Linked DNA regions of Diceros bicornis minor. The protein of the gene in region 2 binds, or shares a complex with, the protein of the main gene of each other region. Links are inferred from orthologs where the notes say so. Each region holds a gene or a part of one and is shown on either strand. Other genes may lie near its edges.

The links.
Region 1: the proteins of CRHR2 (region 2) and UCN are in contact, whole or in part, in a cryo-EM structure (PDB 7TS0), measured with the Homo sapiens proteins. The link is inferred for Diceros bicornis minor from reciprocal best matches to the Homo sapiens genes CRHR2 and UCN. Residues at the interface, in NP_001874.2 of Homo sapiens: Phe68, Asn69, Gly70, Val71, Tyr73, Ile101, Leu102, Asp103, Asp104, Arg107, Asp110, Tyr113, Leu117, Asn120, Trp166, Leu169, Gln170, Val172, Asp173, His174, His177, Glu178, Thr188, Phe191, Asn192, Phe199, Phe256, Gly257, Lys258, Asp265; in NP_003344.1 of Homo sapiens: Asn84, Pro85, Ser86, Leu87, Ser88, Ile89, Asp90, Leu91, Thr92, Phe93, His94, Leu95, Leu96, Arg97, Thr98, Leu99, Leu100, Leu102, Arg104, Thr105, Ser107, Gln108, Arg111, Ala112, Asn115, Phe119.
Region 3: the proteins of CRHR2 (region 2) and GNA11 are in contact, whole or in part, in a cryo-EM structure (PDB 7TRY), measured with the Homo sapiens proteins. The link is inferred for Diceros bicornis minor from reciprocal best matches to the Homo sapiens genes CRHR2 and GNA11. Residues at the interface, in NP_001874.2 of Homo sapiens: Arg148, Tyr208, Leu209, Ala212, Ile213, Thr216, Glu220, Lys293, Lys307, Ala311, Phe358, Tyr359, Phe362, Asn363; in NP_002058.2 of Homo sapiens: Arg37, Ile348, Leu349, Asn352, Leu353, Glu355, Tyr356, Asn357, Leu358.

Annotation. Positions count from the first base shown.
Region 1 is NC_080751.1:55,532,353-55,537,276, reverse strand, and holds UCN (urocortin), read right to left. Parts: upstream 957-4,924; 5' UTR 891-956; coding exon 510-890; downstream 1-509. Other genes in the region: protein Mpv17, read right to left, coding at 4,157-4,381, 4,629-4,724, 4,819-4,911. UniProt on the Homo sapiens protein: Acts in vitro to stimulate the secretion of adrenocorticotropic hormone (ACTH). Binds with high affinity to CRF receptor types 1, 2-alpha, and 2-beta. Plays a role in the establishment of normal hearing thresholds.
Region 2 is NC_080742.1:54,986,548-54,994,131, forward strand, and holds the start of CRHR2 (corticotropin-releasing factor receptor 2), read right to left. Parts: upstream 3,038-7,584; coding exon 2,951-3,037; intron 1-2,950. UniProt on the Homo sapiens protein: G-protein coupled receptor for CRH (corticotropin-releasing factor), UCN (urocortin), UCN2 and UCN3. Has high affinity for UCN.
Region 3 is NW_026691553.1:2,409,704-2,417,249, reverse strand, and holds the start of GNA11 (guanine nucleotide-binding protein subunit alpha-11), read right to left. Parts: upstream 3,088-7,546; 5' UTR 3,066-3,087; coding exon 2,930-3,065; intron 1-2,929. UniProt on the Homo sapiens protein: Guanine nucleotide-binding proteins (G proteins) function as transducers downstream of G protein-coupled receptors (GPCRs) in numerous signaling cascades.

The DNA.
Region 1 (4,924 bases), on a different chromosome or scaffold from region 2:
TGCTCGCTCGCTCAGCCTCTGCTTAGAGGCGACTCCATCACCATCCCGCGCTTCTCCGGATCTGGGACTATTTCGGGGGGCGGAAGTGGAATGAACCCCAGGTGGCCACCTCCTTGATATCAGGCACGGATTCGCAAGCCCAGTGCCAAGGGAAAAGGGTCGGGATGGTGCAGCGGCACCAGGACTTGAGTTCCTGGGGGACTTGAAGACAATGGGGACCACAGGACCCTGGCTGAAAGCCGTTTCGCGGAGCCCTCCTGCAGCACCTGGTTCCCTCCAGCCGGCCTGGGAGGCCCCACTTTCCCACAGGTTCCCACCCTGCCGGGGTTCCCCGCGCCCCCAAAACAGAGGCAAAGGCTCTTCAGCACTTTTATTAAAAACTAGTAAGGCGGAGAGTGCTGAGGGTATCCCTGGGCGGTTCTAGCGCAGCGGGACTGGGTCAGTTCCGGTCACGCACGTCCCGGCCCGGGGGTGGGCAATGGAGGTCGAAGTTTTCGGGGTCCCGCGGATCACTTGCCCACCGAGTCGAATATGATGCGATTCTGCTCGGCGCGCTCTCGCTGGCTCTGCGTCCGCGCCAACTCCAGCAGGGTCCGCAGCAGGTGGAAGGTGAGGTCAATGGACAGCGGAGGGTCGTCCCGTCGCGGCCGCTCGTCCGCGGTCACGGATCCCCATCGGCGAGGCCCCGCGCGGCGCGGGAAGCGCTCCGCCAACAGCAAGAGGAGCGCGCGGGCTCCGCCGCCCTGGTTCCGCCCCCCGGGGCTCCAGCGCAGACTCGGGTCCTGGACCCCGGCCTCCGCCGCCTCCGGGTTCCACTGGCTGCTCCCCGAGCGCAGCTGTGCCAGGAGCAGCAGCGCCGCCAGCAGCGCCGCGCGTCCCTCCCGCCTCATGGTGCCACCGGCCCTGGACACACAGGAGCAGCGCAGGGTGAGCTGCGCCTGGGGCAGTCGCAGGTGCCGCCACTCTCCTTCCGGCGTATGTCCAGCGCCCCCGCCGGGCCCCTGCGGCTGCCTCCCGGTGCCCACCACCTTCCCTCCAGCCCCAGCCGCTGCCCAGTCCTGTGCCACCCTTTCTTCCCTCCCTCCCTCTTGGCGGGTCGCCGTGGGTGAGCTGAGCGCAGGGTCCCGGTGCTAAGGGAGCCCGGGCGGACGCTCCCAGCCACTCACAGGTTACCGGAGAGCGTCTGCATGGTGCAGGACGGAGCTCCAGTCTCGTCCCTCGGGGCGGGCTGAAGGCGCCTTGGGGAACACGGGGTCTGTCCCGGGACCGCCGCCAGCCTTATATAGCGCCAGGACAGCTCAGACTGACGTCAGCGAGGAACATGTACTGATTGTAGAGCAATGACGGCCGCAGCTTCCAGTCCAGCCAGTTGCAAGACCCCAAGGGGCACGCCACGGGACACGAGACTTCCCGTCTCCGGGGCTAGGGCTGGAAGCAACACCGGACTCAAGAGGGCGAGAAGCTGGCTGGAGCGTAAAGATTGCTCTGGGAGCCACAAGAGTCCTTCACCCGCTTATAACAGCCAGCAGTGACTAGGGGCCGGTCCCCAGACTAGACTAGTCTGGATCTCCAGTCTTCTCTGGTACAAGAAAGGGAGGCTGACCCGCGGGGCTGTCCGTGGTGCTGACGGTGAAGGTGTCCTCTGCTTCTAGAAGGGGCCAGAGGCACTGGGAGAACGCTGTGCTGCTCAGACCCAGTCCCTTGTCCCAGCTATCAGTTCTGTAAACTGAGACAATCAGGAGCACACAGCTGGCACTCATCTACCACATGGTACCCCCCAAGACGCAGCTGAGGCAGCCTGAGTCTGCCAGGATTCTTGATCTTATTCCAGCGCCAGGATTTAAATTCTCGGGCTGTCTGACTGAGGCACCATAAAAAGAGGCCTCAGGGTGCTTTCCGACCACAAAAGGCTGGATCATCTGCTTCTCAGTTTGTCCCAAAGTGGTAGTTTAGCCAAGTTAATTTTTCTCCTGGGAATCACAGCAGCAGCATTACTGTATCTTTGACCTCCAGGTTAAGATCACTGGGTAGGACGTAAGGAAACCTGGTGTCTTAGTCCATTCGAGATGCTCTAACACCATAAACTGGGAGACTTATAAACAACAGACATTTATTTCTTACAGTTCTGGAGGCTGGGAAGTCCAAGATCATGGTACAGGTAGTTTCAGTGTCTGGTGAGGACCTGCCTTCTGGTTCATAGATGGCACCTACTTGCTGTGTCCACACATAGCCTTTTTTACAAGGGTATTAATCACCTCCCAAAGGCCCACCTCCTAATACCATCACCTTGGTCATTAAGTTTTCACTATATGAATTTGGGGGGTATTCAAACATTCACTCTATAGCACATAGGTTCAAGTTTCTAATCTGCCAGTAACTCGTGGTGTGGATAGGCACCTCATTTCTATGGACCTCAATGTCCTCATCTGTAAAAGAATATTAAGTTTGGTAGTCTCTAGGCTTCTTTCTAGCTCTAGAAATTTTGACTCCCCAGTAGTTTTCTGTTAGTCTTGCTCATTGCCTCTGCAGGTTCCAGGTTACATATTTAATGACATATTTACAGTGGTACCATATAAAGAGTTTGAGAGGGTCCCCAAAGAACTGGAGCTACACTAGGGATGGGAAGGGTTAGAGAAACAGATGTGTCTATGAAGAGTGGGGATGAGTGGCATTTGTCAGGATATGGGTGTAAACTAAACTTGACAAGATCATATGGTTCAACAAATATTTATGGATGTGGTGGGTATAAGACTATTATAAAGGTTTTAGTGATTTCAAAAGGAGTCAGTTTACATTTTAGAGTGAAATGGGCCACTTAATAGCGCTAACCCCATTAAGTTCTGACTAGCAAATTAACCCTGTGAAAATGATGTGCCCTCTTTGAGGAGGTTGTCTGACCATTCTCGAGTCAAGCTGCGTCACTGCAAGGCGGAAACAATGGAGAGAGGCAGACTTAGAGCCGGTGTGCCTTCCAGGACAGGTAGGAGTTCCAGATAACAGCAACACACTGGACAACAGCCAACCTAAGGAACAGGAATGGCATTGTGGAGAAGAGGAAGAATGAAGAGCAAGCAAGGGGGAAGAGATGGGAAAGTGCAATGGAAAAGGAGAGATTATCTCCGAGAATGCCGAGATTTAGGTCTCCCTCCTTCAGCCCCCTATAGAAGGACGTATGGCTCAGACCAGAGGACAACCAGCTCAGGTTCTGGTGCTGTCCCAGAGCGGTCTCCTGGACAAGAGCCTCAAAGTTAAATACCCTCAGTAGCCACCTTGCCACATGGCCGTTATCCATACCCCTGTCCGGGCTCCTTCTAAATACACGTATCTGTCTGTCTTGTACCAGCTGAGGAGATATCATCTTCCAAAAATGTACTATCTGCCACGCAAAGTAGCACCTCCTTCTCTTTATTTTAAATTTTCCTTGCTTTAGTTTCAAAAAAGTTGCAAGGACCTTAATGTTTAAGATTTTTGGTTCATAAATCTAGATTCCTTATAGCTATGCTATTCATGTAAATTTTGACCACATCCCCTCTGAAGAGTTTCATATTTTTCCCTGTTCTCAAAGCCCTCCTCACCTCCAATAATTTTAACTACTCATCCTGAATTCCACTATATTTTTATTGTGGTTTCAGCAATTAGTTTTATTATTAGGGTAAAATAATACTTTGCAGTGGAGTAACCTGACGAGGTTCCTACTTGGCTCTTTGGTCTATCTTTCCGTCTAACCTAGGCCATAGCACCCCAGGCACTGTCCCTACAGCAAAGGTAGAGAGCTCAGGTGGGATGGAGACCAGGGTTGTGGAGCAGGATCCTCCCTAGGAAGATGAAGGTCAGTGGGCAGACACTCTGTGACAGGTTCTGTAATGGGTAAGAAGTTCTGAATAAAATGCTAGAGTCTGAGGAGCTCTGATCAGGACAGACTGTTCTATGGGGTCTAAAGAAGTTCAAGGTTGAAATGAATATCACTTCATCTACAACTGTTCATAATGCAGATCTTCCTTGAAGGGTGGGGTAGGGATCTGTCATACCTGTAATGAAGGGGGACCAGGTAGAAGTTGGCTAACTGCACAGCAGGCCAGAGCTACAAGAGAGAGAATGTAAATGTTGGGGGGCTGACTCCATCACCTGATCCCCAGACTCACTGCCTGGTCTAGTCTTATTCCAACTTCTGCAGACAAGAACAAATTGAACAACTGGGTGAGCGCTTCCCTGAGGATGTTCCCACACTGGGAATGAGGGAACAACTGAGGGATGTCTCAGGGACTTCTCTGTCAGGAGGACCCCAATCCCTGGGCACTTCTGGACTCAAGAAAGCAGGAAAACAGGCAGTTGAGGTGTCAGCTCTTACATAGTAGTTGGTGATGAGGGCGTCAGGGTAATCCTGAGGAGACAGAGAAGGAACAAGTTAACACTTCCATTTCCAAGCAGCTCCCACCTCCCAGTCTGAATATCACACACAGACTTCTGTTCAAAGAACACGCTCCTGCACCACACCCCCCTCAGCTCCTCTCCTCCAGAGCCTGAGATCCAGCTGCGCTTCACCTTTCTCATTCCCCGGAAGCCTGCCTCATTCCCCTGGGTCTGCCAGTCTGCAAGCCAGAGATCTTCCCCACATCTGCCCAGCTCACCCGCTGGAGTTTGGCCCAATTGTCCTGGGCTGACAATCCATTGAATGTTCCTACCAGTGGGAGGAAACAGCCTAGAAAACACGGGGCAAAGCCCCCCTAGGGAAGAGAAATGAAAGCGCTGTGAGTACCTAACCCTCGACCCACCCCCAGCACAGTTCACCCTTCTCAACTCCCTTTCCCTTCTGCTCACCTGATCCAACAGCATCTTCTTTAGTGCATCCACTTTGGTGGTGCCCGGGATGAGCCGGTCCAAAAGCCTGTACCAGCCTCCTACTACAGGACCCTGAAAGTAAACC
Region 2 (7,584 bases):
GGGCCATGCAGGTCAGGAAGGTTCCAGGCTTCTGGGGCCCCGGGCCCTGGCGGGGATTTCTCTCTTTGCTGAGGCTTCTCAGGACAGACGGCCCCGCCCAGAAGCCCAGACTTGGAGCAGGAGGCCACAGAATCGCTGTCCTGAGACCCTGGGGTCAGCAGGGAGTATCTTGCTGCCCCACAAAGGTCCAAGGGGCTGGACCCAGCCAAAAGGGGCTGGTAGACTCCTGGGATCTTCACAGAGGAGGAGGCAAGCAGCTCGAAAGGTTAGAATGGAGGGTTTTGGAATCCAGCAGCCACATTCCTCAGCCTCACTGAACGTCTGTTTCCATCTGTAAGTAACCGATCCACTTTCCCGATGTTTTAGTCAAGTGCTTAGCACAGCACTGGGTGTCCAGGGCAGGCTGCATGATTACAGCGCTGCCCCCAAAGCAGCTTCCCAAAGGCCTCAGAGGGCACCCCGGGAGCACCAGGGTCAAGGCTTGGCTCCTCCGGGCTCTTGCGGTGTGGGCTGGGACAAGGTGCAGGGTGTCCTCCTCACCCAACCACCAGCTGGAACTTCCCCAATTGCAGATCAGGTCGGGCCCTTCCCCTCCATGCCCTTGGGCTAGAAATCGGAGCCCACTGGGGACCCACCATGCCCCCTGCAGCCTCACACCATCTCTTCTCAGGGTCGGGGCTCTGGGGCCTTCCCCGCTGCTTGCTCTCCCCTCAGCCCTCCTCTCCGACCACCCCACGGCCACCCCTGCCATCCTGCCCGCCTGTCAGAGGCTCTCACACCTGCACACGCTTTTTCTTAGTTCCCGTGGCCAGAGTTTGTAAATACACACTTAATTCTTCGCCATTATTTTCTTCCTGCCAGGGTCTCCTTCTAGGCTATGACTCCATCGGGTGGGTGTTTTCACCCTTGTGTCCTCACGGCCCGGTCCTCCTTAAGCACTGAGTGAATAAATGAGAGGGCTGGAGGCCAGGCCCCTCCTGGGTCACCTTCCCTCCCCACCACCTGCTCTGGAGCAGAAATCTCAGAATAGTTGGACCAGGACCCAGAAATAAATCCCATTACCATGAAGGCTCAGAGCAGGGAAGGCTGCGCTTTGGGGCCAGAAAGACCGCAGATTAGTTCCTCTCTAGCTGGTTACATGATGAGTAACTAGTCTCTTGTCTCAGACTGGGGTCATGGAGGGAGCTAGGGGCAGGGCCTGGGCTGACTCTAAAGGGAGTTTAAAGGGACTGTTGCCTCTGAAGTTTCCTGTTCTGCGTCCCCAGAACTCAGGGTACCCTGCCACAGATCCCCTCTGCCTGGCCTTGCTCTGGAGAGCAACCAGAAGCCCTCTCCGTCTAACCAGCATCATAGCCTCCAGAGGGGAGGGCCGAGGGGCAACCCGGGACCTAACACCCAGCTCTCTTGGAAGGCACACACCCTGAGAATGAGTGGGAGGGGACAAAAAGAGCTCAACGCCCAGGACCTGGGGGTGGTGGGTGGGGGATGGGGGTGAATCCACGGCACAACCTCCCCCCAAATACAGTCTGCAATGTCACTACAAGGGCCTGGCAGGTCTAGGGGCCGCCTGACCATCGGGGCACTGACCACACCTCAGCATGGTGCCCACCCTTCCCCTCCACGTGACCAGACCCCCTGGGAGGGCAGGGCCCCTGGTGTGGTCACACTTAATCTCTAGTGCCGGGCACAGAACCATAGCTGCATTTACCGAGTGCTTGCTCTGTGCTGGGCATGGTGCTAAGAGCTTTCCTTGTATATCTCATCTGTTCCTCACAACAGCCCTATTCAGTAAGCACCAACACCATCCCCATTTTACAAATGAGGAAACTGAGGCTCGGAAAATTTGAGTAACGTGTCCAAGGTCACACGCTAAGCAGCAAAGCAGGGATTTGAATCAGGTCTGTCGGAAAAGCCACTTTGCCACAGTCAGCTGATGCTTGCTACCTGTCTTGAATGAATATTGAATGAATGGGTCCTCAGTGTACATATGGGGACATCGAGGCCCAGGAAACGGGCCCCAAGGCTGGTCTTTGTTGGAGTGGGGACAGGACTAGGCCTCCTGACTTCCAGCCTGGCTCTGTCCCCAGCATTGTGTGGTCTCCGGGCCCCTCTTTGCCCTCTGAACCCTTTTAATGCCGTGGCTCTTCATGAAAAGTGTGGCCTAGGACAGGTTGCTCTCTCTGAGCCTCAGTTTCCCCATCTGTAAAATGGGGAGAGGGTTAGAGGGAGATTCCTCCCGCATCTGTTTCTGGAAATCACTCCCTCTCAGCCTCACTTCCCTTCTTCAAAAGCTCCTTCCTTATAGCTCCTCTCCATCCCTTTGCTCCAGCCCCCACCTGCAGACCCAGACTCTGGGCAAAGGGCACCTACAGTTTTGAGAAACCACCCCCGTGCTCCCTCTGCCCCATTGCTCATTTGGTACTGGGGCTGCCTGGTTTGAGACACTAAGAAGAGGGTGAGGACAGGGTGCAGGGGATGGGGGGCAGCTCTCTGGGGGTCCACTGGGAGGAAGGGCCAGAACTGGGGTGGGGTGAGGAAGAGACTTGAAGCTCCTGCAGGGGATATGGAGAAGGATCCATGAAGGAGGGGACAGAATGGACAGGGAAGAGGGAATTTGTGGACCCGAGGAAGGGCGTGTCATGGATGCTAGGGCGTCACTCAGAAGGCTCTGCTCATCCACAAGGGCCTCCCTGTCCCATCCCAGTTGTGTTCGAGTTCCCTCTCCTCTCCACCTGCCCCCCTCCCCAGGCAGGAGATCTCCATCCCATGATCCGCACAGGGATCCCCAATCCCAACCCGGCGCACAAGCCCACCCAACTCATAACAGGGCTGAGGGAAAAGGCCGAGGAAGTGAGCACCAAGACTCCCTCCCAGCCCCTAGTCCTGAGAGCACGGAGCTCCAGCTCCCGGCGCCCCCACCCTGAGACCCGACCCCACTCCCCGCACTTACTTCGAGCAGCGGCAGGAGGAGGCAGAGCAGGCAGAGGAGAGGGTGTGGGGTGTGGAGGAGGCGCGGGGGCCCCGCGGGACCCCCCATGCCCGCAGCGGCTAGGGACCGGAGCACACCTCCCAGCGCGGCTGTTCTGCCCCGCCCGCCGCTCCCCCGGGCCACAGCCGCATTGGCCTCCTCCCTCCCCACCGGCGGAGCAGGCCAAGGTAAGGCCCTGGGCACAGGGGGTACTCTCCCTCGCCCCCTCCCCCAAGGCAGCGGTGACACCGCCCCACAGCCCGCCCCTCCACGTTATTTATAGCGGGCGCTGGGCAGCCGCTTCTGCCCCAGCAGCCAGAGGCCAGACTCTGCCTCCCGCCTGCAGAGAAGGGGTTAATGCCTTCATCCGCCACCACCTTTGCCAGGGCTGTAGCTACCCACTGCCAGGAGAGAGGAATGGAGAAAGGGGGCAAGGAGTCTCGCTGTGGCTGTGGCCAGAGCATAGGTGGGCTGGGTGGGTCTCATCCTCACCAGGTGTCCCAGCCCTGCAGGCATGTTCTGACTGTCTGGGGTGCTTTCACCGGGCACCAGTGCCCACTGGGACGCTTGCAAGTTGAATGTGGATGCCGGATTAAATAACTGTATCAGTGTTCAATTTCCCAGTTTTGATAACTGCACTGTGGGTAGGTAAGAGAATGTTTCTGTTCTTAGGAAATACACATTTAGGGCTAAAGAGGCAGCCTGTTTGTAACTTATTTTCAAATGCTTCAGAAATATACACACAGATATACATATAGAGAGAGAACAATAAAACAAATGGGGCAAGAAACAGTCTGTAAATCTGGGCAACGGGGATGTGTGTATACTTTGGCTTATTCTTCCAACTTTTCTTTAAATTTGAAATAAAATGCTAAAAATAAAAACCCCAAACAACCATGACAACAAATGCAGCAGTGCCAAACCCCACCCAGAGATTCTGGTTTCATAGGTTGGGGTGGGACCCAGGCACTAGTATGTTTCAGTAAATTTGCCCAAGGATCTTTATGTCAGGCATGGCTGAGCAGTGTTGATCTTGGGTGGGGAAAGGTCTAACCTGGGGCTGGGTCAGGGCTCAGGAGGTGAGGCCTGTTCTGGGGGGGCCTCTGGAACTATTCCAACAGGTGGGCCTGGTGCAGGGTGTTTAAAAACTTACGCAGCATTTCCAGCGTCGTTGTCGTTAGGATCTGAGGGGAAAGCATTTGAGGAATGCGATTAGCGGGGCGCTGAGCTTTTCCTGGAGGATGCAGACAAGGTGGGTACAGGCCCCGGAGAACTCAGCCCGAGTTCAAGAAACTCAGACACTGTGTTCACTCTAGTCTGTCTGCCGGGGACACTTTTCTGTCCCTCAGGTCCTCCTCCCCTCCACCCCCTTCCTCCAAGCAGCCTTTCCTGATTGTTCCCACATCGCCCTCCCCTGAAATCTCACAGGCTTGAGCCTGAGCCCCTGGCTCCTCCCCCTACCCCCATGTGGACTGTTCTCTAACTGCCCCTTGGGTGAGGCTGGTGGTCTCCAAACAGCTTGGTGGGGGAAGGCACTCCTGAAGGTAGAGCCCTGGTCTCTCCCTCCTCTTTTTATCTTTTCCCCTCCCTTCTCTGTTGCACAGAGCCACTGGGGATATGTGGTGCAAGGGAATCTTTATGGGAAAAGCTGAGGAAGTGTTGACCAGATCTCCCCATTCATTTGAAGATGACGGGGTGGAACTTGATCAGAGAGGATCCTGGCGGGAGATGACCACTCAGCCAGACTTTGATGGATGCGTAGGTTCAGAAAGAGTTGATGGGTCAGCATGAGGTCCAACAGTTCTCTTCAGCATGTGTTCCTGGAGCGTCTCCATGGCCAGCCTCACATGGACGCTCTGAAGCAGAGAGCAGAGGCTGGGACCTCAAGGCCAACCTCGTAGACTGTGGGGAGTGTGCCAGCAGAGGGAAGGTATGTGGAGCCCGTGAGATCTGGGCACAAGTAACTGCGATGGGAGGTAAGAGGGAGCACAAATGCTGGGGCAGCTCAGGGCAGTGAGGGAGGGGACTTTTGGGGGAAAAATGCTGCAGGAGCATCATAAAGAATTTAAACAGGCGGAGAAGGGGACACCTTTACTCTGGATGGAGGAGTCAGGGTGAGCAGAAGCAGGAGCTGGGCAAGTGCAGGCTGGCTCAGCCGGGGGTCTGGCTGAGGCTGGGACAGTGTAGGGCCAGGAGTGGGGGACAGACTGGACGGGATCTAGTTCTAGGAAGATCTACGGAACAGGTACAGTGGTGATGGCCGGATTCCTTGCTGGCAGGGCTTTCCCTGTGCTTCCAGATCCATCCCCTCCTCCCTGACCTGGAACACTCTTAGGAGGACTGCCCTTGGACAACTACAATTGCTTTTTGCACCAAGGAGGGGATCCCCAGGTACCCAGGAGTTTCCCCAATCCCCAAAGGCATGCCTAGCCGTTGACTGGCTGGTGCTCCTTTGCCTGGAGGTGGATGAACTCCAGGTGTAATTAACACCCGGGGGCCCTGCAAGGTCAGGGGAGGCTAGGACTTAGCTTGGCATATCTCACTGCTGCCGGACTTCTTTTTCTGTCCTGGTTTGCCCCCTCTCTTACCAGTCTCTCCTGGGAACATTTCCTTCACAAATCGCAGCAGGCGAATCCTCATCTCATCCTGAAAAACCTGACCTAGGGGAGCCTGGAAAGTCAGGGAAGTCTGGACTTAACCCCTCTAAATGCAATAGGTTCAAAACAAACAACAACAACAGTAAAAAACATACACAACCCTTGAGCCTCTGGGATGTCCTCTGGACAGCCCTTCTCAGCTTTCAGGGGCTGCTGATGTTGGAAGAAACCCTGCCTACAACTGTGATCTGGGCAGGCTAATTAAAATTGTCGTTCCAGAGCCTGCCCGGTGACATTGCGGTTACGTTTGCGTACTCTGCTTCGGCGGCCCGGGGTTCGCCAGTTCGGATCCTGGGCGCAGACCTACGTACCGCTCATCAAGCCATGCTGAGGCGGTGTCCCACATAGAGCAGCTAGAAGGATGTACAACTATGACATACAACTATCTACTGGGACTTTGGGGATTAAATAAAAAAGGAAAAAAGCGGGAAGATTGGCGACAGATGGTAGCTCAGGACCAATCTTCCTCAAAAAAAAATAAAAATTGTCATTTATCAGCTTTGTGTGCCTAAGGGCAGACTCCAAGGCAGAGGAGCCTTTTTATTTTTGAAATGCCTTCATGACCCTTATTGGTTATGAAAGACCAACACAGGGTGGTCTACCAGGGAGGTGGGTGATTTGCTTTGTACAGTGTGGAAATTCCTAGATCTGGCTTGGCACGCAAGATGGCAAAGGGGTAGAAGGGCTAGGATCTGGGCTGAGGGTTGTCCCAGGGACTTAGAGGGAAAAGAGGGGGCAAGGACTGCAGGGCAGGCCAGGTCTGAGGAAGGATGGGCTGGAAGGGCTTCCCTGAGGTGTGAATGGTCAGTGAACGTTAGCAACCGGGCTGTGATTATCCTCCACTCTCCTCCATCTTCAGCACGAGGCCACAGTACAGGACAGCCTGCGTCATGTGCTTGGGGAATGAGGAGGAGGTGCTGCACCCGCGTACGGATCGAGGGCTGGAGAGGAGTCAGCAGCTGCAGGAGGTGGGAGGATGTACTGGACATTTCTTTGTTTTGTCCAGAATGGTCCTGTCCTTCTGAGAGATGCTCCCTCCTCTACTCCAGTGTTTCTCAACATTTTTTTTCATTATCAGCACCCTCCTGAAGGAGGCTTTTTAATTTCTTTCCTAATTGCCCTCCCCGCTATGAAATTGTAATCCCACAGACATACTGTATATCTGGTTATGTACTGTGGTTCTTTGGAGGACCACAAACCACTGTAAGATCTAAGATTGTTCTGCCCTCCCAGAACTGCTTTGTGCCTCCTTGGGGGCATTATTCCCCTCCTTGAGCGTGCCTGCTGTACTCCAACCATGTGATTTGATTGGCAGCGGGTCACTGTGGATTGGCCCAATGCCATCCACCAGGCCGGACAAAGGAGAGGGCCGCACGCGATGACTACAGTTGGTTGGTACAGGAAGGGACAGCTGATCTGAACCAACTCAATCAGAGTCCCTCCCTAGGATTTTAAAACTTTGCATCAAAGAGAGAGACCATTCCTCTCTCTTGGAGAAACTGAGAGATGCCAAGTGCAGCAGCTGCGTGGCTGTTGGCTGCTGTTTGGAAAAAGCCAAGCTGGAGGAATGAGCTTCCACGCTCCAGAGGGGAGCAGAGAAGAGAGACCTCTGAGGCTCTGGTTCCAGGCCAGCCAGAAGCACGCTTTGCCTCTGCCCCTGGTTAGGGAGTTCTCCAATGAATCTTCCCTGATGCCCGAACTAGTTTGAAGTGTGTTTCTGTTTCTCACTACCTTAGGAATTCTAACCAACATAGAAGGGATCAGGAATTGAACAGGAGTAGAATTCATCATAAAAGGTGACTAGGAAAATGGAAGACACTCCATCCCCGTGTTTGGGGTCTAGAACTGTTGGGGAGAGCCCAGACTTTTCTGTAAATCTAATGGGCTCGGGGCGATTGGGTCACTGTATGTGTCTATGAAAGGAAAGGGTGACTTTGGAGGACTGAGGTTCTTAAGGAC
Region 3 (7,546 bases), on a different chromosome or scaffold from region 2:
TGAGCGTGCACAGACGCACACACGGTGGTTTCGGATGGAACCCACAAAACTATTCGCCTTTTAAACATTCACCAAACACGTGACAAAACCATTGACGCTGATTACACTCCAGCTCTGTGACACACGCTGATCTTGTGTGCTACCATGAGGGGCTCTCAAACAGGGGTGATCCCGCCCCCAGGGGACACTGGGCCACGTCTAGGGACATTGTGGTTGCCACACTGGGGGTGCTCCTGGCATCGAGTGGGTGGGGCCAGGGATGCGGCTCCACAGCCCACAGCACGGCCCTGGACCTCGGCCCGGCATTTACAGCTGGTCCTCCTCGTCATAAACCTTCACCTTGGCCCCATGAGCTCCCATCATCCTCTTTCTCTCTGGCCCCCTGTGCCCAGGACTCGGCGTCCCGAGACAGGTGCACGATGCCCTGTCGTGCAGGCCGGTGGGGGGAGGGCTGGGTGTTCTCTGGGGTCCCACGGCGGGGTGGGGGGACTGCAGACACTGGGGCTCCTGCAGCCGAGCCGGTGACCTGTGTTCTTGAACCCCACGACCATCTGCAGCCTGGGTACCCTCAGGACAGGCAGTGGGGCCGTCTGGGGGCTCACAGAGCCCCCAGGCAAGGCTGTCTGGTAACATCACCAAGATGCTGGAGATGTCTAAATCCCCCTCCCAAAATAAAGTCTGCTCGCGCTGCCAAAGCCAGCAGTGCCACCCTGTCCGCCAGAGCGCCACTTGGAGCCCGCCGCAAGTTCCCTCCAAGCATTACGGTTACTCCCTGCCTGTCTTTCCCGGAAAGGTGGCCTGTTATAGGGCATTTAGATAAATCGGAACATATGTTTGAAAAAGAAAAAAAAAACGGGGAAGGTGTTTCATCAAAGTGGGGGTCCGGGGGGTGGGTCCCTGCAGGCGGGAGAAGCAATGCATGCCTGCCACCCCCCAAAAGAGCCAACGCCCCTCAGCCATCAGGCTCGGCGCCCCTAAACCCTGCGCTGTTCTTGGGGTGCGCCCTCCGTGACAGCCCCCTCCCATTGGGCCCCAGGGCCCACGGGAGCTATCCCTGAGCGGGGAGCGAGCATTCTCTCCCTTCCCCGCAGCCCAGGACCGGCGGAGCTCAGGAAGGGCCGCGAGGGTTGCTGTTTTGTAAACGACCTTCATGCCTTTGACAGCAGAGCTGAGTCCTTCAGCAGCCCTTATTTGGGGTGACAACACTGTGCCCACAGCTGGGCCGCCTCGCTGCCTGCAACAGCAACAGGTGTGCCTGGGGAGATGCAGACGCGGACAGGGATCTTCTCCGGGAGAGGGAGGGGGAGCCGGAGATCCAGCTCCCACCCAGACGTGGGAAAGGGGATGAGGAAAGTGCTGAACGCCGGTGAAGGCCCCTCCAGGGTCCACCCGCCCCGGCCTCTGGCTACAACAGAAACCCGAGACGAAAGGTTGTCTTCTCCCCCACGGGTGTAGGGTGTACCCCACTCCACCCCACTTGGGAGGACAGGGGGAGGGAGGCAGGGGAGCGGCCTGAGGGAACGGGCTGGAGGGGGCCAGGCCCGGCGTGCAGGGCATAGGGCTCCACCTGGTGGGAAGAGCCGAGACGGGAGCCCGGGAGGCGAGGGGCGCGTCTTGTGGATTACAGCCCAAAGGTCTGGCCCTAGGCTGATGCTGCAGGCAGCGAGGGGGGACACTCAGTGGGGCGGGGACAGGGGGCCAGCCCTGTGTGGGGAGGGGGTCGCACCATGAGAAGGGCAGCAGGCAGACCCTCCAGGGTTCTGGGGGCCTGACCCAGACAGAAGCAGGAGCTGGCCCTGCAGGGATCAGACACCAGGCAGCAGAGGCAGGAACTGACCCTGGCGGGTTCTGGGGGCCCCGCCTGGACAGCAGAGGCTGGGGCTGGCCCTGAAGAAACATGGGGCCCGACATAGTCAACAGAGGCAGGCCTGACCCTGCAGGGATTGTGGCCCTGCTGCAGACAGCACAGGCACAGGCTGACCCCAAGGGTCCGGGGCACCAACGTGCACAGCAGAGGCAGGGCTGACCTGAAGGAACCTAGGGCCTGCTGTGGACAGCACAGGCAGGGGCCGACCCTGAGGCCCAGGGCCCGCTCTAGACAGCTCAGGCACAGGCTGTGGACAGCACAGGCGGGGTCGGGCTGCGGTGGACAGCACGGCTCAGGACTGACTGCAAGGCCCCGAGGCCCACCGTGGACAGCACGGGCAGGGATGGGGGGGCCCCTCAGTGTCCAGCACAGGCACAGACCACGTCCAGCACGGGTGAGGATCCGCCCCCCCGTGTCCAGCCCAGGCAGGGACCGGCCCCCCGTGTCCAGCCCGGGCGGGGACCGGCCCCCCGTGTCCAGCCCAGACGGGGACCGGCCCCCCCGTGTCCAGCACAGACGGGGGGGCCGTGTCCAGCACAGACGGGGATCGGCCCCCCGTGTCCAGCCCGGGCGGGGACCGGCCCCCTGTGTCCAGCACAGACAGGGATCGGCGCCCCGTGTCCAGCCCGGGCGAGGACCGGCCCCCCGTGTCCAGCACAGACAGGGACCGGCCCCCCGTGTCCAGCACAGACAGGGATCGGCGCCCCGTGTCCAGCACAGACAGAGATCGGCGCCCCGTGTCCAGCCCGGGCGGGGACCGGCCCCCCGTGTCCAGCACAGACGGGGATCGGCCCCCCGTGTCCAGCCCGGGCGGGGACCAGCCCCCCGTGTCCAGCACAGACAGGGATCGGCGCCCCGTGTCCAGCCCGGGCGAGGACCGGCCCCCCGTGTCCAGCACAGACAGGGATCGGCGCCCCGTGTCCAGCCCGGGCGAGGACCGGCCCCCCGTGTCCAGCACAGACAGGGATCGGCGCCCCGTGTCCAGCACAGAGATCGGCGCCCCGTGTCCAGCCCGGGCGGGGACCGGCCCCGAGCCCGCCGCCCGCAGGCCCGGCCACTCACCGAGCAGCAGCAGCTTGAGCTCGCGCCGGGCGTCGCGCTTGTCCCGCCGCAGCTGCTTCTCGATCTCGGCGTTGATGCGCTTGGACTCCTTCACCTCGTCGCTCAGGCAACACGCCATCATGGACTCCAGAGTCATCGTCCCGGCCCCGGCCGCCCGGCCGCCCCCCGCCCGCCGCCCGCCCTGCCCGCCGCCCGCCTGGCCTCGGCGCTCGGCCCCCGGGCCGGCCGGTGCGCTCGGCCGCCTGCGAGCGCCGGTCCGCTCCGCGCGCTCTCCGCCCTGCCGCCCTCCGACCGCGCCGCCGCCGCCGCCACCGCTGCCAACCGCAGCCGCCGCGACCGAGCGACACCGCCGCACAACCTAACCCGCGCGCGGACGGCGCCGACGGGCGGGCGGCGCGGCCAATGGGAGGGGGCGGTGGCGCGCGCGCCGCCGCGGGGGCGGGACCAGCGGTGGGTGGGCGGGGCGTCGGCGGGCGGGGCGGGGCGGGGCGAGCGGGCGCGCCCGCGGGTTAGGTTGCGCCGACGTGGGCAGGGGGACGCGCGGCCCGGAGCCGGGCGGGGCCGCCCGGGATTGTGGGAATGTGGCGGACTCGGCCGGCCGGCTCGGCTGCGCTCGGCTCCGCTCGGCCCGGGAGCGAGAGGCGCGGACCCGGCGCGGCGGTCGCGGGGCTGGGGGACCCCGTTCCCACGCGGGACACTGGGGGACCAGCCCTCACGGTCTCCCGGCCGGAAACGAGCCTTCCCCTTGTCCGTTCTTGGAACAAGCATTAATGGAAGGCCTCCTGTATACCAGGCCCGGGCCGGGATTAATGCAGCGCCTGCTATGTGCCACGTATTGAGCAAGCATTAATGGAATGCCTCCTGCATACCAGGCATGGGCCAGCCTTTAAGGCAGTACCTACTGTATAACAGGCATGGACGAAACATTAATGCAGCGCCCGCTGTATACCAGGCAGGAAGCAAACATTAGTAGAATGCCTACTGTAAACGAGGCATGGGCCAGGCATTACTGCGGCGCCTGCTGTATTCCAGGCAGAGAACAAGCATTAACGTAAGGCTTGTTATATACCAGACAGGGCTAAAGCGTTAATGCAGCACCTGCTGTATACTAGGCACGGACCAAGCATTAATGCAACGCCTGCCGTGTATCAGACAGGGCAAAAGCATTATGGAGTGCCTACTGTAAACCAGGCACGGACACAGGCATTAGAGCAGTTCCTGCTATAGGCCAGGCAGAGAGCAAGCATTAATGAAGAGCCTACTGTATACAAAGCACTGCTTTCGGCCCTTTAAACCAACCCTCCTACTCGATTAATTTTACCGGAACGTAGCCATGCCCATTCATTTCCGTGTGGAGCTTAGCTGCTTTCACCTGGCAAGGGCAGAGCGGAGTGGCTGTGGACTACCCTACAATATACTATCTGGCCTCTCATAGAAAGACCTAGAACGAGGCCCAGACACACAGGAGGTGCTCAATCAATGCATTTGGAATGATGGAAAAAGAATAAAAGAGTTTGGAGTGTTCCTGGTGCCGGAAACCCATTCCACGGAGGAGGAAACCGAGTCCCCCTCTGCGGCGCCTCTCCCAGCCGCGACCCGGCGGGACCCCCACCTCCCCTCCCCACCCGGCCCTGCCCAGGTCCCGTCCCTGCACCTTGACACGCCACAGCCTCCTGTCTCGAGATACGGGGCGAGGGGGTCAAAGTCTGCGTTTATTGGCTGATGGCAAATGTGGGGAGGTTGGCTCCTTGGACCTGTCACCTGGGGACTTCCGTGCTCACCTCGGCGGGTGGCGCAGCCGGGGATCCTGGGCTCCCCCATGAACAGACAGAAGCCCATTGTGCAAAGAACCCACAGCCAGGGAGACCGAACAGAACCACTGTCACTCGGGCCCCGGCTCAAACGTCCCCTCCCCAGGGGGAGGGTCAGGCCAGCGCCCCCACCCTGTCACCACCGGCTGGACTTCCCCCACGGCCCTTTCCAGGGCTGGAAATCATCTTCTTTATGTATCTCTTTACTCATTTACCCGTAATATAAGGTGTCTTTGTCTGTCTTGATCACTGCCGTATCTAGAACCGGGCCTGTACACACTGGGCGCTCAATAAATCTTGAAGGAAAGGGTGGATTTGTTGTTGCAAATGTTGTTTGCGGTCCATATCAACCAGCAGACTGTGGGCAGTGACCGTGCGTGTCTCGGTCACCGAGGGGTCTCCCACGTCCAGCAGGGAGCCTTGGGCCTCTTCCCTCCTCCGGCAATGCTCCTGCGTGCCAGGTGCCACACCAGAGGGTGACGAGTGGAATCGTTCTTTCGTGTGTGTGAGGGCCACGTGTGGGGGGAACTCCGTCCGTCTCGTCTTCTGCGCTGTCTCCGGGACCTAAACCAGCACCTGGCATACAGCAGGTGCTCAATGAGTGTTTGTGAAATCAATGAAGGAACCGGGCTCTTTTTCTGGAGGTAAAAACCTCACTGTACTTCCTTCCCTTCTCTGCTCCTGTCCCGTGACGCCGTCACCACCTCCTTGCACAGGACTTAACCCTCAGGACGGAATCTCCTTTCTGCTGCTTGCTCTGGCGTGGACTGTGGGCGGGCGACTTAACTTTCCCGGGCCTGTTTCCCCATCTGTAAAGTGGGGAATATCATATCAGTTCTTTTACCTTGAGCTGTTGTAAATCGCCAAGAAGAAGGTTCTTGTGATGTACACAGTAGAAGCCTAATGTTTGCTTAAATATTTAAACACAAGGGGATGGTGGTAGATAACCTCCAGGACGGCCCCCAGCAAGCCCCGCTCTCTGGTATCCATGGCCTTGTGTAATTCACCCCCTGCCTAGGGTGTGGGTTGAATTTAGTGATCTGCTTCTAACAAATAGAATATGACGATGTGGCTTCAGAGGCTGGGTTATAAGGTGTCTTGGGCTCCCATCTTGGACTCCGTCTCACTCGCTCCTAGAGCCCAGCCGCTCTGGAAAGGAGTCTAGGCTATCCCGCTGGAGGAGCCCCGAGGCCTCCCGCCAACAGCCACTCAAGGGAGCCAGCTTGGAAGCAGTTCCTCCGTCCCCAGTCGAGCTTTCAGATGAGGCAGCCCCCGCGGACAGCTGGACCGCGACCTCATCTGAGACCCCGAGCCAGAACCACTTGGTTACGTTGCTCCCAAATTCCCAACCCTCGGAAACTGCGTGAGAGAACGAATGTTTATTGTTTTAAGGCATCAAGTTGGGGGGCGATTTGTTACGCAGAAATCGATCACAAATACATGCCGCCGAGAAAAATGGGAGTGATGTCACACAAGACCTGTGCGCAAATGTCCACAGAGGCTTTATTTGTAACCTCCCAAACTGGAAACGTCCACCAACCGGCGAGCGGATGAGCAAATTGTGGTCCATCCCTATGCTGGAATATTACTCAGCCATGAAAAAGGAAAAACACACACCAACATGAATGAGCCTTAGATGACTTGTGCTGAGTGAAAGGAGGATGTGCTCTGTGATTCCATTTGTAGAACATTCTGGAAAATGCCAACCGTGGAAATCCATGGTGACCGAAAGTAGCTTGCTGGTCGCCTGGGGATGGGGGTGGGGGTGGGGAGAGGAACAAGGAAACTTTTGATTGTGCCAGTGATTGCTCGGGGGCAGACATAGGACAAAACTCACCAAATTGTACATTTTAAACGTGTGTAGTTCATTGCGTGTCAATTATACCTTGAGAAAGCTTTAAAAAAAAAAAGAAATGTTCAAGGAGGTGGTACTTATAAAGTACACAGTAGGTGCTTAATAAATGCTTAAATGTTTCAAAGGACGCCGAAGCAGAGGCAGGCAGGGTGGGAGTGCAGCCCAGGGCGGAGAAACGAATAAGATGGGAGAAGGGGTGGTGGGTTCGTGAGTTCCCTAGGTATTTATCAAATGTCACCCATGACACCCCCTCCTGGCCGCAGCTCTGCCCTGGGCCCCTGGGCGTTGGGAGGAGGAAGGGAGGGGAACAGCGGGGAGCAGAATAACAGGGGGTGCCATCGTCCTCGTGCGTTCACTAAGTGCCTACTCTGTGCCAGGAGCTGGACGGACACCGGGAAGGCCCCCGATGAGGAAGAGGGGAAACTGAGGCCCACAGGGAGATGGTGAAGTGGCCTCAGGGCCCAGGCATTCGCTAATCGCTGACTTGGCTTCCCCTCCCGGAGGCCCAGAGAGACAAAGTCCGGCTGCGTCACCTCGATGGCCCCGAGGCCCCACCCGCCCTGCCCGCAGCCTCCCCTCCTGCGTCCTGGGAAGTGGCCTCCAGCCTGGAGGAGTTGCACTTTATGAGGGTCCGGGGCCGGGGACAAGGCTGCATCCCAGCGCAGAGCAGAGAGCAAAGGTGAGTGAGGCCCAGGCGGGGCCGGCGGGCTGCAGGGGACAGATTCCGCGGGATCTCTCACGTCCCTGCCCTTCCCCGGCCTCGGGGCTGACAGCGGGGCGCTCCCGTCTGCCCCCGGAAACCATCGATGCCCCCGGACACCCAGCATCGGAGAAACCGAGAAACCGGGGATGGGGCTCGCAGCCTTCTCCTGCCTTAGGAGGGTATTTATTTGTTTCTTTTTTTTTTTTTTAATAATTTTATGTATTTACTTTTTCCCCCAAAGCCCCAGT